Linked DNA regions of Schizosaccharomyces pombe. Changing the gene in region 1 together with any one later gene gives a genetic interaction. Each region holds a gene or a part of one and is shown in the gene's direction. Other genes may lie near its edges.

What was found. A genetic interaction does not mean that the proteins touch.
Region 2: mutations in vps3 (region 1) and sep1 together harm fitness more than expected from each alone (negative genetic interaction), as found in Schizosaccharomyces pombe (one large-scale study listed by BioGRID).
Region 3: mutations in vps3 (region 1) and SPOM_SPBPB10D8.02C together harm fitness more than expected from each alone (negative genetic interaction), as found in Schizosaccharomyces pombe (one large-scale study listed by BioGRID).

What each region holds. Positions count from the first base shown.
Region 1 is NC_003421.2:474,988-481,038, reverse strand, and holds vps3 (GTPase regulator Vps3), read left to right. Parts: upstream 1-1,977; 5' UTR 1,978-2,050; coding exon 2,051-2,126; exon of another isoform or gene 2,127-2,174; coding exon 2,175-2,239; exon of another isoform or gene 2,240-2,293; coding exon 2,294-2,399; exon of another isoform or gene 2,400-2,451; coding exon 2,452-2,639; intron 2,640-2,695; coding exon 2,696-4,993; 3' UTR 4,994-5,256; downstream 5,257-6,051. Other genes in the region: coy1 (CASP domain-containing family protein), read right to left, coding at 1-1,026, 1,093-1,203, 1,261-1,312; histone H2A-H2B chaperone Nap1, read left to right, coding at 5,468-6,051. UniProt on the Schizosaccharomyces pombe protein: Required for sorting and processing of soluble vacuolar proteins.
Region 2 is NC_003423.3:3,132,720-3,138,341, reverse strand, and holds sep1 (DNA-binding forkhead transcription factor Sep1), read left to right. Parts: upstream 1-2,237; 5' UTR 2,238-2,855; coding exon 2,856-4,847; 3' UTR 4,848-5,122; downstream 5,123-5,622. Other genes in the region: dss4 (guanyl-nucleotide exchange factor), read right to left, coding at 434-736; DNA-directed RNA polymerase I complex large subunit Nuc1, read right to left, coding at 5,374-5,622. UniProt on the Schizosaccharomyces pombe protein: Required for promoter sequence element PCB-driven, M-phase-specific transcription. Acts as a transcriptional activator with a role in the regulation of mitosis. Regulates septation and the periodic transcription of cdc15.
Region 3 is NC_003423.3:82,729-87,499, reverse strand, and holds SPOM_SPBPB10D8.02C (arylsulfatase), read left to right. Parts: upstream 1-1,981; 5' UTR 1,982-2,068; coding exon 2,069-3,733; 3' UTR 3,734-4,271; downstream 4,272-4,771. Other genes in the region: SPOM_SPBPB10D8.01 (cysteine transporter), read right to left, coding at 4,547-4,771.

The sequences.
Region 1 (6,051 bases):
CAGTTAACTGGGCATTTGTGGAGCGTAGCTTGGCCAACTCCTCAGATAGTTGCTTTTCGCGCTTGAGTAATTGAGACTCTAGAGAAGTGTTTTCATGAGTCGCATGTTCTCCACTAAATTCAATTTGTTTTAAAACAGATAGTTCTCGTTTAATCTCGTCGTAATCCGAAAATTTATTGGCCAATGTTAAGCTTTCTTCTTTAACTTTGCGGGCCTCTTTAACTTCATTTTCCAGCGTTTGAATGGTGGCACAATGTGTTTCCATTTCTTTTCTTGATGCTTCCTTTATTGATTCCAATTCAGTAGACAATTTTTTATTAAGAGAATCCATAAAATCCAATTGTTGTTTCTGCTGGTTACTCAGGTCATCCTGTGACGACCCGCTCTTTTGCTCTTTGGTGTTTTGCTTGAGCACAGCAATTTCTGCTTGCAATTCGACAATGATTTTGTTAGCATCATCCAATTCAGAAAGAATAGCATTCACTTCGGCAGATTTGGCATTAACGTCCAACCCTGCTGATTCATTCTGACTGGCCTGTAAATCATGATCTAGTTGTGATGCTTGTAATTCCCGAATTTTTGAAGTTAATTTTTGAATCGTACTAGCATTTTCCTGTTCCATGTCTTTATATAGCTTTTGTTGCTCAAGCCAAGACTTTTCGCATTCTTCTTTTGTGATTGCGGCACGCTTTTCCGCTTCAGTCTCTACAAGGTCCTTGTATTTGTCAAGCTCTTTTCGTAAATTTTCCACTTCACGTTCCAGCTTTTCCTTACCCTGTAGCGAGCCTTCCATTTCTTCCTTTTCCTTTTTTAAATCTTCAATCTGTTTTTGAGTTTTAAGGTTGTTCGCAGCCTCAATCAGCAAAGGGTAGGGATCAGGAACCTCGCCTAGTGTTTCATACACTCGAAAGAATGTTGCTTCAGCGGACTTTGCTCGTTTGGTCAAAGAATCGATTCCAGACTGATAAAGCTTTAAAAGGCCCTTCATTTCGCCTAGCTTGACTTCATCAGGCTGCTTGCGAAATTCTGTATATTAACAATATTAGCAAGGGTTAATGTATACTAGGTATGCTGCAATAATAGACACCATACCCTTCGTTTTTGACGAAAGCTCTTTCCTTTCATCCAAAGATGTCTTTTGCATCTTCTCAATTTCTGCTGCAGCTTCATCTGCTTCCCGTTGTAATTCCTCAAACCGCGAATCTATTATCTCACGTTAGTAACTTTGCTATTTGCTTAAAAATTCAAAACACCACGAACTTTTCCATGACTCCGTTAGCTTTTGGAGTAAAGCTTCTGAAGCAACTGCCATTATGTTGCAAGTTATTAAAACGAAACACTAAAATGACTAATGTTTAGTATTTGTTTTGTGCTTAGCATTTCAATGAAATAGCGCGATGTCAGCGTGCTGAAATAGTGAATTGGGAGTTACACAACGTTCCATTAAACACTTCGCTATAAGAATTTGTTTTTATGGAAATGAGTAATATGTATTAGGCGCTTAATTCGATTGGAAAAGTGATTGTATATTGTATTGATTTTGCTTTTGTAGCCTTGTATTTTGGGAATAATGCAAAGCCTATTGACAAAAGGCCAATCTTTTTAGATCAGCTATCAAATTATTCAGTCAATTAATTTTCGAAGAGACTTGAAATTAAGTCAGTCAACAAACATACAATCACTTCTGTGTGCAATTATTATAGTTCCTGCTATTTCACTCTGTGAGGCTATCTCAAATTGCTATAACTCCCAGGATGCTTGCAAGTTAACTTAGAATTACTATGGATTAAGATTGGAAGAGAATCTCCTATAAGGATTCCACGTATTTGAATAGTTAGTTTTGTAATAGAATCTAATTTTTATTTAAATTAGCAGAAATTCTAAATTTACTTTCTTTCTATATCATAACATTTCGTTTACTATGGGTTACACGCTACCCAGATCTACTCATATTGAAAGTAACCATATTAACGCAACAGATACACTTACAAAGGGCTTTTTCATGAATATAATTGTTTAATGAATCTTTTCATTAATTCAAAATTTACAAATGTCTGATATTGAGCTGCATGAGTCAGCAATTCCTAAAGAATTGGATTCCCCTGTAACTACCATTGCGCTCTATAGTAAGGCAAGCATCCGGGGCTATATTGCTAACTATTTGATTTTTTTAGATAACCATCTATACTTTGGAACGGAAGGTGGTGATGTATTCCTCTATAATTTTTCAAATTTCCAGGTTTGTGTTTATTCGTGTGTTGCACAGGGTTGTTTGCATTAACACGCGTATTAGTTAAATGAATCACCAGAGCTTGTAAAGAAGATTTCGTTGGTGTCGAAATCTCGTGTAAACCGAATTCTTGCAATGCCTTTTCTTGGCGCAGTTTTTATTCATCATGGTAAGCTATGTGTGGTTTACGATAACTTTGGAATACCAATTAACGGTGGTAGGTAGTTTCGCAGAAGTATACAAGGAAGATGATTTGACTCAGCTTTACCCTTCCATCTCCTTTAAAGGCTTGGTGGAATTCTGTCATCCAGGCCAACGTATTGACGAGAAAAGCACATATTTAATTGTGACCAATACTCATTTAAAGCTCATCTCATTTCAAAAAGATGGAATCATACTAGTCAAAAATGTATGTTAGATGCTAAATTGTTTACTTCATAAAAGCGCTAATTAACAATAAACAAGGAACTTAAATACCCCAATATTCAAACTGCTCGTGTGAATGGTCATATCGTTTGTCTAGTTACCGAAAATTCCTTTGAATTATTGGATATTCTCACCTTTGATACTACTCCCCTCTTTCCCATTATCAAATACGATTCGGAAAATAATGGGCTAATGTACAAACCCATGATTGTTTTGCATTCTAATGAATTTCTCTTGATTACCGGTAGTCCCAAAGATGCCATAGGGCTTTTTGTAGATTCCCAAGGGAATGTCACAAGAAGCACTCTAACTTTTTCATTTTATCCAAAACATGTTTTTTCTACATCTCATTATGTGTTCGCCATTTCTTCTAGTTCGTTACAGATCATCGACATAAATACTCTCAGTCTTGTTAAAAGTATTAATCTGAAGGATGATGAAAGTTTCTCTTTTATTTCTCGATTGACAAGCGTTCATTTTTGTGATCGCCAAATATTTAGTAAATTCTCTGCTGTGAATACTGCGTCTACCTCAAAAACTTCTGATACGATAGAAAGGGCTTCTTTTAGCAAGCCTTCATTTATTTTTCTTACGAATAAATCTTGGGGGTTTGGCGCTGAAGCTCATTTTATGAACAAACTAGAATTCAGTATTACCATAGGCGATATTGAAGCCCCTCTGCGTCGAGTGAGTAAGCGATTGCGGAATCCGAAGAAGTATGGAATAACCAATGATGTCGCTTATCTTCAATCTGCTTATTTGGAGCAAATCTCGGCATTACAGTATTGGAAGCAAGGACAGTATGAAAATTCTCTCTCTTTGCTTGAAACTTCCAAAATTGATCCTCGCGTAGTTATCTCCCTCTATCCAGATCTCTATCATTCGGAGCTTTCCTATATTGCTTTTCAAGGTGTCATTAGTTTTCGCAAAAGCATATTGTCCGTCGATGATACTGTTGCTAATGTTTTAAAATCTAATGAATTGTTTCGTGATACTGATCAATACACTCAGAGACAAATGATTGAAATTACTAAGGAAAACGCATACATCATGTTGATGCGTTATCTGAAAAATTACAAAAAGAACACGAGCATATCTGAGTATCTTTTATCTTCGCAAAGAGACGTGATGCTTGCTGTAGAGCATTCGTTATTACTCCTTTATTTAAATATGGATGATTTAGCCGCCGGTACCAAAAATGCTAAGGAGTTGTTAGAGTCTGGTCTAACTGGTGTTGAAGATATAAAAGATGTGTTGATACAGAAGAAAGAGTATTATTTACTCTCCGTGTTATTGGCTACTGTAAGGGATCACGATGGTGTTCTTCAAACTTGGAAGAAATTAATAACAGGGGATTATGAAGATCGGAGATTCAACGATGGGTTAATTAAAATACGAGAATATTTGGTTAATGATATTGAGCCTTCGACATTCTGGGAATTTACTACATGGCTTTGTAAACACGATGCAACGGAGGGTACGCGCGTTTTGCTTGACAAAACAGTTAGTGGATCCATTTCTGCAGAGGACGTGTTAGAGCATTTGGATTCTTCTCAAGATGATGTTTTGATTGATTACCTTGTAAAGTCGAATTCCGTCACTCATCGAGCGCTACTTTTAAAGTTGTGCGTTAATAAGTTGCTTGGCAGTTTATTGGATCATAACGATTTTAAAAATCGCCTTGAGACTGCCATTGAAACATTTAGGGAGCTTCCTTGCATGGAGAAACCTACGTATGCCCAATACTTGGAACAACTTTGGGGGGACATGAGTGATTTCAGTACTCATCTTTCATTTTACTATTTGTGTTCTATTAATCTGATGGAAAATGTTGAAGAAGAATCTATAGATAAAATAAAAGATATTTTGTTCGACATTCATGTTGACAATTTATATCTATTTCCTCAACTTGAACACTCGTTTTACAAAAGGAAGAAGAATTATGAAAAAGCTTTATCCGTTTTGGTTACGAATATTCATGACTATAAGGGCGGTGAAGCATACTGTCTTCAAATTGATGATGTTTATCCTCAGTGTTGGTGCAATTTGCTCGAAAAATGTATATCAACAGGAGATGGATGTAGTGATTTTATTAAAGAACTATTGTATCGTCGACCCTTTTCTTATACGCTTTCCTACGTGTGCGAGCAAATTCCAGATCATTGGAATCTTAACTTATTAGCAGATTTTTTGTGTATATTGCAAAAAAGAAATGCTGAGCGTTTGAATGAATCCCAAACTCGTTTAACACTTGAGAAGTCGTTGTCTCAAAATTTGGAAGAGTTGTTCATGGCTATTAATCGTCGTAATGTAGCCTTGGGCAAAAACGAAATTTAACCCAGTAACATTTAAAAAGTAACCTTTGGTTCAGCAAAGTTTTTACCTCAATTTTCGATACTTATTCGACTGATGTTTAATTTAATGATAGAATAATTTCAATGAGACAAAAAGATTCTAGCTTCAAAATGTTGTTAGAATATAAAGGGCTTTCTTCTACAGTTAATTCAGCTCTTCCTGATCTTTACTAGTCTTAAAAATATAAATAATATTAACTATGAGCCTAAATTCATCGAATTTTATTTTTAAAAACCCCCTTCGGGAATAAAGAAAGTGTCCGTAACACAACGATGCACTGTTCACTAAGGTCGGAAACCCCGAGGATGAGCTCGGAAGTTCCGCGGGTAGGTAGATTCCCAGGGTGCAGCAAATATTCTTACACTTAGCTTCTACCACTACCCTTCCCAGTGTTATTAAAAGGACGTACGGAAAGCGTCTGAAGCATAATTGATTGCTGGAACAAGTAGAATTAATATGGTAGAGAACGTTAATATTAATAACAAAAGGGCCGGAAAAATGTCTGCCGCCCCAACTCCCCATAACACCCCATCGGGGACGAGCGCTCCCAACTTTGGTGCGAAGGCTCCTCAAGTAAATACTATTGACGAAGGAGATGAGAATTTAGAGGCTATCGACGGAAAATTGGGTTCTTTATTACATCTCACTTCAGAAGGAGTTTCAGAATTGCCTGAAGCCGTGCAAAGAAGGATTTCTGGACTTCGTGGTTTGCAAAAGCGATACAGCGACTTGGAGTCTCAATTCCAAAAAGAGCTGTTTGAGTTGGAAAAAGCTTATGCAAAGAAGTACGCACCTATTTTTAAGAGAAGATCTGAGGTTGTTCGTGGCGCTGACGAACCTACCGAGGAGGAAATTAAGAAGGGTGAAGCTGCCGATGAGAACGAAAAGAAAGAACCTACTTCTTCTGAGTCTAAGAAACAAGAAGGTGGTGATGATACTAAGGGTATTCCTGAGTTCTGGTTGACCGCTATGAAGAATGTTTTGTCTTTGTCTGAAATGATTACTCCCGAAGATGAAGGAGCTTTAAGTCACCTTGTGGA
Region 2 (5,622 bases), on another chromosome or scaffold:
CTATCGGTAATTACGAAGACAAAAGCTGATTATATGTACAACACATTCACTGTGCTTTCTTCAAATTTTAAATTAGTGCTAAAAAAACATTGGTTTAATCGTAAGGTATATTTTGTTTAGTCAAGGTTAATTTCATTTAATACCCGATAAGATTAAAATCTAATCACAACAAAGGTGTAAGCTACAAAAGAACTTTTTAATAAGAAACAAACATTATAATTCCATTTAAATATACCTAATTTCGTGGTTACTATTCAATATGAAACCACAACATACCTGTCTTTTGTAAGGCCATGTTGCAAGTCTTCTAAAAAAATATAAAGAATAAAAAGACACATGGAAAAGACCATTCCATATCAAATAAGTAACGTTTACAAAAATATGCTATAACCAAGATAAATAGCACAGTTGTTTGATAAACTTATTATTAAGCTTAGTTTTTCTCCAATGAGCACAGCAATAAATATTCATTGTTCTTAGAATCATAGTAGCCCAACGGACCTTTTTCACAATCAGCACAAGCAAGTAATTTATAATTATTTGCTAAGGGTTTTGATACGCTAACGTTGTCGAAAGCAAACGGATCTTTTAGAAGAAAAAAATCGTCAGTTTCTAGATCTTCTTGTGTTTCAGAATGCAGCATAGCTGACATTGTTGGCCTCTTAACAACATCTGGACGTTTGTTATTAAATACGACTGAAGGGCAATGTTGACAAACAATTCGCAAATTCGACATAATTTAGGAAAACAATATGGTGGTAGTTAGTTAGTAGTAAGCGCCAATCAGCGTTTTTTGTGGATATAACCTATTAAAAAAATAAAAATACAAGAGAAAACTTTTAAAAGTTTAAATGCTAATTACAAGTTCTTCAAATTTAATTCAATACATGTAGCATTCATTTCCAAAATAGGTACTGACGTGTCTAGTGCAATGAAGATATGGAAAACAATGTTTTGCATTTTGACGATAGAAGCAAATCAATAATTAGACGCTGAAAACTTCTTTTTTTTTGACATGCTATTTGGTTTCATAAATTAACATGGCCTGGTTTTCACTATATTTAAACTTCACCACATAATTAGTAAGTTATTATAAAAGAAAACGCAAAAAATTTTTATTTGCTCGTCTAATGTGTTCTTGAATATTGTCTTTCTCTTAATGTTAAACGAGACATATCAGTTCGCCTGATGCATTGGTTCATATAGTAGTTATTTTCAAATTTAGAAATTCGGACACATAATTCTTCTATCCTTCTATGTTAAATACAGAACCTTTTTCTTTCTACTCAATTTGCTTTCCGTGTTGCAACCTTGACACATACTAAAACTTTGTACACAGTGGTTTTTGAACTTTCTTCTAGTAACTAAAATTTTAGAAGTACGGCATTGAAAGAAATATTGTAATCAAACTTTGAATGTGTGCAGACTGCAAAATTGGGAAATTAGCTTGGCACTTGCAATTTTCAATGTAAATGTGTAGGAATCGTGTGCCATCCCTTCAATTGTCTAATATTTTAATTGAAATCTATAGAACTACGCTATTTTTGCTCGAATTATTGCTACTATGATTACTTTGTCTAAATCCTTAATAAAAAGAAGTATTCTTGATTAGCTCCGTGAACTTCTCGATTCAGTTATGTGACAAAGAATATTATTAGCTTCCAAATATTGAAATATTATTATTTTATTAACTAAATGAGTTTCTAAGCCAAGTCAATTTATCAATCATCGTTATTGTTATTGTTGAAATAATACAAAAAATATAACGCATGCTATTGATTCTTAACCAAATGTATTAATCACCTAAAATTTGTCAACCACTAACTGATATGATTAGACTAAGCTCAACTTCAACTTATACTCTCTTTATAGCAATATTTAAGTTGCATGAACATCCGACGTTATTAAATATTTTAGTATGAAGATAATATTATAGCTATTCACTAAAAAAATATTTCATAACTGAAACTAGTGCCTCATTTCATTTAAATTTCTAATTATAGGACCTCAAAAAATAAAACAACGTTTTACTGTATGGTTAATACTATGGAACCAGAAATGTGTCAAATTAAGGGCATACTTAATGAAGGAGGATAATTGGCAGCTTAACGTATCATAACGTATACCCTTATTACTGTTAGTAAAATACTCACAACCCAACATCGTAATCGATTTTTCGGCTCTATGACATATTGTCACTAAAATAGAGGATCCGCTTTCACGAGGTGGAGATTTCTATCTCATCTCGTACACTCATATTTTGGCAAACGTCCAAAATTGGAGCAATTCGGAGCATTTGATACGAAAGGATATTTGACACGATTGTGTATCACTATTACAAATCTTAATATTTTTATGCAATATTAGTATCTCGTTGTGCATTTCTCTCGTTTCTGACAGCATCCAGTATTGAGTTTGTATCTTTTGCTTCCTATACTGTAATACCTATTTCTATAATTATTTCTGTCTTAGACTTAAGACTTTATTTTTGGTTGTAAAGGATTGTGAATTTAGAGCACCACACTTTCTTTCTTTCTTTTTTTTGTGCTTCGGAATCGTGCCTTGTCGTAACACTAGTGCGAGAATCCAAGGTCGGACAATTTTTTTTTTGTCCTTTGAGTACTATTATTATTAATTCTTTTCAAATCTTTGAATTTTGCAAAATACTTCATTCTTTTTGGTCCGCATACTGACAATCTATGTTTGTGTAAGTCCGGAGTATAGTAGTATTCACTATTACTATTATTTTCCCTTAATTGGTTTTCTCTTTTAATCATTATTATTATTGGCATTGCCATTATCTAACGGTGCTTTAATTTTTGTTTTATTATTCAATTTGTCTGAACATCTTCCTCATGAATTTTAATTCTACTAACCCTTATTATTTTACTCATGAAAAAAACCTTAACAATGCTTCTAAGTACTCTGAACTCCCAATTGCTTATCAGGAAATTCCTTTGCAATCTTTACCACCTTATCCCAAGGTTGCTTCAAAGTTGAAGGGCGTAGTTGCAGGCGGAAAAGAAAATAACATTGCATCTTTTCAAAAACCTTCTTCAAAAGCCACTCGACCATATATACCTTCTTATACTAGATTGACTTATTCTGTTCCTCCTCTTCCCATACCTCCTCCTTCGGAGCAATCTTTGGATACTATTATATATCGAAACCCTTCTGTATCTTCTTCTCAGTCTCAAGAACCGGAGGAGTTTTTCTTACCCCTAGATGATGGAAAGAAACCTCCTTATTCCTATGCTATGTTAATTGGAATGTCAATAATCCGTTCTCCCGATCGTCGTCTCACTTTAAGTGCTATATATGATTGGATCAGCAATACTTTTTCTTTCTATAATAAGTCCAATAACGGTTGGCAAAATTCCATCCGCCATAATTTAAGTCTAAATAAGGCATTCATGAAAATTGAACGTCCTAGAAATTTACCGGGGAAGGGTCATTTTTGGAGCATTCGTCCTGGTCATGAAGAACAATTTCTAAAACTAAAGCTGCGTAAACCAGGAGTAAATTCAAGACCAGCGCCTCCTGTTCAAGACGTTACCTCCTCTACAAAATATGGATCTTCTACCGGTTCCTCTGGATTTAACACGTTTAATACTTCTCCCCATATATTTAATCAGCGACATCAATATCTTCAGAATTATTATACTGCATCCTTAACGAACATTCCGACGATCTCTAATGTTAATGCCACAAATTTTCATCCTCTTCATAGTCAACAACCCTATGTAGATACCCCTGGTATCGATGCACCTTCTGATTTGGAAGCTAAGTTTTCCGATTTGGGTGTTTCCTCTGTCGTATCTGTAACTTCTCCTTTACAATCATGTACAAATTCTCCATCTCCTCCTTTGTCATCACCAGCATCCAGTGCTTCTCCATCTGAATCACTTAGGAATGAATCTTTGGGAATAAAGTCAGCTAAATCATTGGGTTTGAATAAAGATGATGCACCAGTAGAAGGTCCACCTGTATCACATTTGGAGAAGGATGTTGAAACCCCTTCAGTTCATGATTCCGTGTTGGGTTTTAATGACACTGTAACGAATCTCGGCAAGAAAGGTTTAAAAGATGGTACAACTAATACCCTACAGATCCCTGCAGTCCGTTTACCTTCTTTACCTAGCTCGCCTACCATAAAAAATCCCAGTGGACTTTTGCTAAAGCGATCAAATTCTATTGATTTTCCAACCCCCCCGAAGGCCTTGTGTCCTAAATTGTTTTGCTTTCGTGATGACATCGTGGCTGATGACTACACTAAGTTTTCTTTACTTTCACCCATCCGTTCTGATATGAGTGGTATCTCAGCAAGTCCGAATACAAATTTGAAGGAGCATCGAACTCGTATCTTGCAAATGCTGGCTACACCTGATGCAAAGCAATTATCATCTTTAACATCATCTGATGCAGAGTTTTGGTCAGTCACGCCTTTGAAGTCTTCAATTCTACGTAATGGAGATGCATCTAAACAAGTAACGCTATCTGAAAGTCCTAAAGGTGATAGCTTACTTGATGGAGGATCATTATCTTATTTTACCAATAACATTAGTTCCGTTGCCGGCTTAGAAACACCAAGCAAGCTACCCATGAGCAAGTCGTTTGATACCTTTGAAGATGATTTTTTGGATCCCATGGATATGTTGAGTTTTGAAAATCACTTTTCCGACTTTAATAGCAATCGAAAAGTGTCTCCTGTTAAACGTGAGGTGCGTAGAAAATATATTTCTTCAGCAACTACTATTCATTCTTCAGCCGCGCAAGATGATACTTACTTGCCTTCTCCTACCAAGAGGAAAATGCCACTTCTTCGTCAAACTTCAACACTATTCTAAATTTGTTTTAGCACTTATCTACTTTTTATCCATGCTTTATTTAATGTGATATTTCTTCGTTCTAGTTAAAGACTGCTATGGGAATTCCTAATTTTACACATATCTTTTACCTTGGTTGCTTAATAAACTTTCAAACCCCCGATGTTACTTGTTCATTTGCGTGCGCAATTTTTTTAAATTTACGAAAGCTTTTAATTTATATCCGGCGAATTGTTCTCCCAGTTGCATATCTAATAGTCACATTAGCAATATAAAGCTTTATGAATATTTCGTAAACATAGTATACGCTTATAGCGTTTAGAAGTTTATCTCTTGTGTTATGTAAGAGTTGTAGATTAAACGTAATTTTATTTGTGGTAACCTATCTAAAACTTATATGACAAGTATTAGTTCCAAAACCCAATTTATTTATTTTATATATTTTTGTAACAAGTAGCCAATAAAGGTTTAATTTCCAAAATCTTTTATTTTGTCAAAACACACATTTTTCTAAAATTATTCCCCAACCGCAATAAATATACCTTTTTTAGTTTGCAGGAGAATCGACTACAGGGGTGAATATGTCAAAAGAACCGGTGCCAAAGTTACCGACTCGACCAACGACTAACCGAGATGAAGGATTGGATAAGTCATCAACATCACCACGGAGGGCGGCCTCAGTCAAAAAGTGACAAGTGGTCTCAAAAGACATTTTCGCAAATGGAGAAGTGTTATATTCTATTCCCATTCTATTGAAGGCTTTGTATCCTCCCTCGAAAGTCATATAATCTGCAAT
Region 3 (4,771 bases), on another chromosome or scaffold:
ATCCTTTTAATCAGTATCGTAGATAATACCATTTTGATATACTTCATGTTGCTCATCTGAGGACTCGCTTTCACTTTCAATAATGCGTTGTTGAACTAAGTTGTAATATTTCTGGTTTAATCAGCTAATGATCCACCGTATACGATTTTTCCAAGTACTATAGTTAAAAAAAGATGTCCGCTCAAATAAATATTTATATGCCTATACTAGTAGCACTTTACATGCCGCTACATTATATATAAAAGTGAACAGCCAATTAATTTTGCTTTTTAATCATTTCCAAGTCATTTAAAATTCCTTGCAATAATAAGCGTATATGGGAATGTAGTTAGCACAATTACTTGCTTCGGCTCAGACAACCTATTATTATAATACAGCTTATTTTATAATAATATTATTAGCTTTTTACCCATCGAACACAAATGAAAACATGCTAAGAAAAGGAATGTTTAAACAAAATTATTATAGTCATAATCTAGGATGCATTTACCGAGTAACAATGACAACTTAACACGTGTAAATTCTAATTTGTAATTAAAACGATTTGCTATTACTATTTAAATGTAAACCAAGTTTGAATACATCCGATATAATAATGAGTAAAAAGAAAATAGTGGGTGCTGCTCAATAAGTTTACACTTTAACATAATATCAGACCAAATCTGATAAATATGAATTTACGTAACTCTTTTGATATAATTTGAATTCACTTATAATTGCAATTGATAGTACCAAAAGTGCGTTGAAGGGAAATGATGTATGGATTGTTTGAGAATGTTACATCTTTTCTCGGATCCAACATTACGCAAAGATCCTTTCTGTACAACAACTTAATCCTTTAACTTTACAAGTTCCTACAATTGAAACAAGTTGTTTTTGTATATTGTGAATGTCTTAAGATGTTCTTTATCTGTATTTTTTAACAATTGGTCCACTATTTTTGAACTTAGGAAGTCTAATTATTGGACGGCCCTTAGTTACGGAAACAATTTACCAAGAAAAAAATCTTCAGATATATAGCATTAAGCTTTATTATGATACATCTCGATACTTTTATACTCTTCATATCTTCATATATATTACGTCCACTAATCGAGATTATTAAATTCCAATTGTAATAATTAAGTATTATTTTAATTTCAAACGAAAAGAGAATCCGAGGTCAGTTGTAAATTAATTATTACCACTTAGTATGAAAATATTCGTGTCTGATATTTCATATCAATAAGACAATACAAAGGACCAAAACGTAATTTTAATCGCAGTTTACCCCCATTAAATTGTATGAAATTCGTATCACTCAACAAATCTAGGTATAAATATGATTTTTCTCAGTTATTGTCAAAAGCAAAATGTTATTATATCTAATTTATCTCATAGAAAATATGTTGAATCTTCCACTGACATTTCTCGTTGAAAGTTCAAAATAACGAAAATCGACGTCCTTGTTAATTATCATTTGGTATCTTTTAGAAAATTAATGTTTTCTTATATGTATAAAGCTTCAAAATCTATTTAGGTTCCTTTGTAGTATATTACCGAAACCGATTTTTTCTAGAGTAAAGCATTTATTGATATAAAGATCAATTAATATAATTTGGCGAGTGTTTAAATATTTTCACATATTTTCCTTTGGGATTGATAACTCAATTAATATTTCCTTGATAAATAAAAAAAAAAAGTCAATTCCTGGTCAGTAAACTCAGTTTTGCACATATTGAGTGAGTGACAGTAATTAGTTTTAAACTTGATTTACTGAATCTTATCTCTAAAATATTCAGATAAGTAAATTACAGTTTGATCCAGTAAATTGGAATGTATGAGTATCTTTTTTAATATGGATGATGTTACTCAAAGCTTACGTGATAGCACGCCATACTTCTTCATTAGGTATTTGTAATTTTGCAATCTATTACGGAAGACAATTGTTGCAAATATATTTTTTCATATTTTAATCAACTTGTGGGCTGTCTCTTGTCTCACATGCCCTTTATGAACATAAAATAAAAATTACAGTTTGAGCTGCATAAAAATTTATTCGCAATCAAAAAAAATTTGAATAGTAACTATGGCTTTTAATAAACAAGCTGAATCTAAAAAACCAAACTTTTTGGTCATCGTAGCTGACGATCTTGGATGGTCAGATGTTTCTCCGTTTGGAAGTGAAATACACACTCCAAATATTGAGAGGCTTGCAAAGGAAGGTGTACGGTTGACAAACTTTCATACAGCCTCTGCTTGCTCGCCTACTCGATCTATGTTATTAAGCGGTACAGACAATCACATAGCAGGTTTAGGGCAAATGGCAGAGACAGTACGCAGGTTTTCGAAAGTATGGGGTGGAAAGCCTGGGTACGAAGGCTACCTAAATGATAGAGTTGCTGCATTACCAGAGATTCTACAGGAAGCGGGTTACTATACCACAATGTCTGGAAAGTGGCACCTTGGACTAACCCCAGATCGTTACCCTTCAAAGCGAGGATTTAAAGAATCTTTTGCACTTTTACCTGGAGGTGGTAATCATTTTGCATATGAACCTGGTACTAGAGAAAACCCTGCTGTACCTTTTTTACCACCATTGTATACCCACAATCATGATCCTGTTGATCACAAAAGCTTAAAAAATTTTTATTCGTCCAATTACTTTGCAGAAAAATTAATTGATCAGTTAAAAAATCGTGAAAAATCCCAGTCATTTTTTGCTTACCTCCCATTTACAGCACCTCATTGGCCGTTGCAATCACCAAAAGAATATATTAATAAATATCGTGGACGATATAGTGAAGGCCCCGATGTGTTACGAAAAAATCGCTTGCAAGCCCAAAAGGATTTGGGACTTATACCAGAAAATGTAATTCCAGCACCTGTAGATGGAATGGGAACCAAGTCATGGGACGAACTAACAACAGAAGAGAAAGAATTTTCTGCGCGAACGATGGAAGTTTATGCTGCAATGGTCGAATTATTAGATTTGAATATTGGTCGTGTTATTGACTACTTGAAAACTATTGGAGAACTTGACAACACATTTGTTATATTTATGTCAGACAACGGTGCAGAAGGGTCAGTTTTGGAAGCAATCCCGGTATTAAGCACAAAACCACCGGTTAAGTATTTTGACAATTCACTGGAAAACTTGGGTAATTATAATTCATTTATTTGGTACGGACCAAGATGGGCACAGGCTGCGACCGCTCCTTCTCGACTTAGCAAGGGTTTTATTACAGAAGGTGGTATTCGATGTCCTGCTATAATTCGCTATCCTCCATTGATCAAGCCAGACATCATCTCCGATGAGTTTGTTACGGTTATGGATATCCTGCCAACCATCCTTGAGTTAGCAGAAGTCCCTCACCCAGGGCACAAATTTCAAGGACGAGATGTTGTAATCCCCCGTGGGAAACCTTGGATTGACCATTTTGTGCATGGAAAACCCGTACACAAAGATACTGACTTTAGCGGCTGGGAACTTTTCGGGCAAAGAGCTATCAGAAAAGGAAATTATAAGGCAATATATGTACCTAAAGAAGGAATAAAAACAGAATGGGAGCTGTATGATCTTTCCCAGGACAAAGGTGAGCTTGAAAATCTAGCGAAAGTCCATCCAGATATTCTAAACGAACTCATCGAGTATTGGTTGGTCTACGAAGCTGAAACTGGAGTAGTAACAGCCCCAGACGATTTTGTTGCCGAAAACGTCGGTTTGTTCAAACCAGCTAAGCACAATCTTTAATGATTATTCATGATATTGAATTTTACAATAATTTTTTACTGTTAATGAAACACCACATAGCAGTTTATTAATGGTAAAAAACTTATTGCAAATATGGAACTCGGGTTCAGCTAATTGTTTAATTTAATGGGCTATTTCCAGTCTTTTACTTATTAAACACCACAGTTTAAAGATTATAAAATCTAATAATAGCTGATTTCATCTATCAACGTATATATGCTAAGTTACCAATTGATTCAATGTTTTTTAAATATGATAATCTACAGCGAAAATTATCAGATGGAATGCAAAGCCGAGCTGAAAAATTTAACTGGTTTGGATTTCCCCTACGTATTAGGCTTTATAATTGATATAAAAATACTTTTTTAGAACATCTCTTTTTCAATCGCAACTTTGCAGCAAAGTAAACTATGAGAAACCATTGGGGATAAAAATCGACCTCCATTTTATTTAGCAATGAATGCTAGTTCTTCTTTTCAATCTATGTAAATAGTAACTGAATAAAGCTTTCAGCAATATATACAAACAAAATTTCAAACTATTCTTCGCTAAAGACGAAGATTACTATTAAAGGTTAGGAATCCTAAAGGAAACAAAAAAACAAGTAAATAAAGCAACTGTCTTGTAGTAGTCTAAAATAAGTTAAGAGTTTACGGGCAAGTAGTTTAAAAATACAAAATTTTGCAAAAAAAAAAGCAAATAGTAGAAGGATTTTTCATGACTGTTGGGAATTTGAAATTATTTTGTAAACATTTCTCATGAATACTTCAAAAAGTTATTTTTTAAGATTTATTCCTTCGTTTAAATGGATAATTATAAGGGATAAATAAACGATAGGTTCTCCTGGTCTGTCAAATCAAGCATAGAATTTTCGTAAAAACCGGAAACGTGATTTCCAGAAGAATCAATCGTCTCAATCCAAGTCTTTTCATACTGTTCTTTATTCTGCTCAAGAAGAGCAAGGCGCTTTTTGTTCCTTCGAACAAGAATCCAGCGAATGATCAGCAATACAAAGGGAGAAACAGACCAAGCAATTAC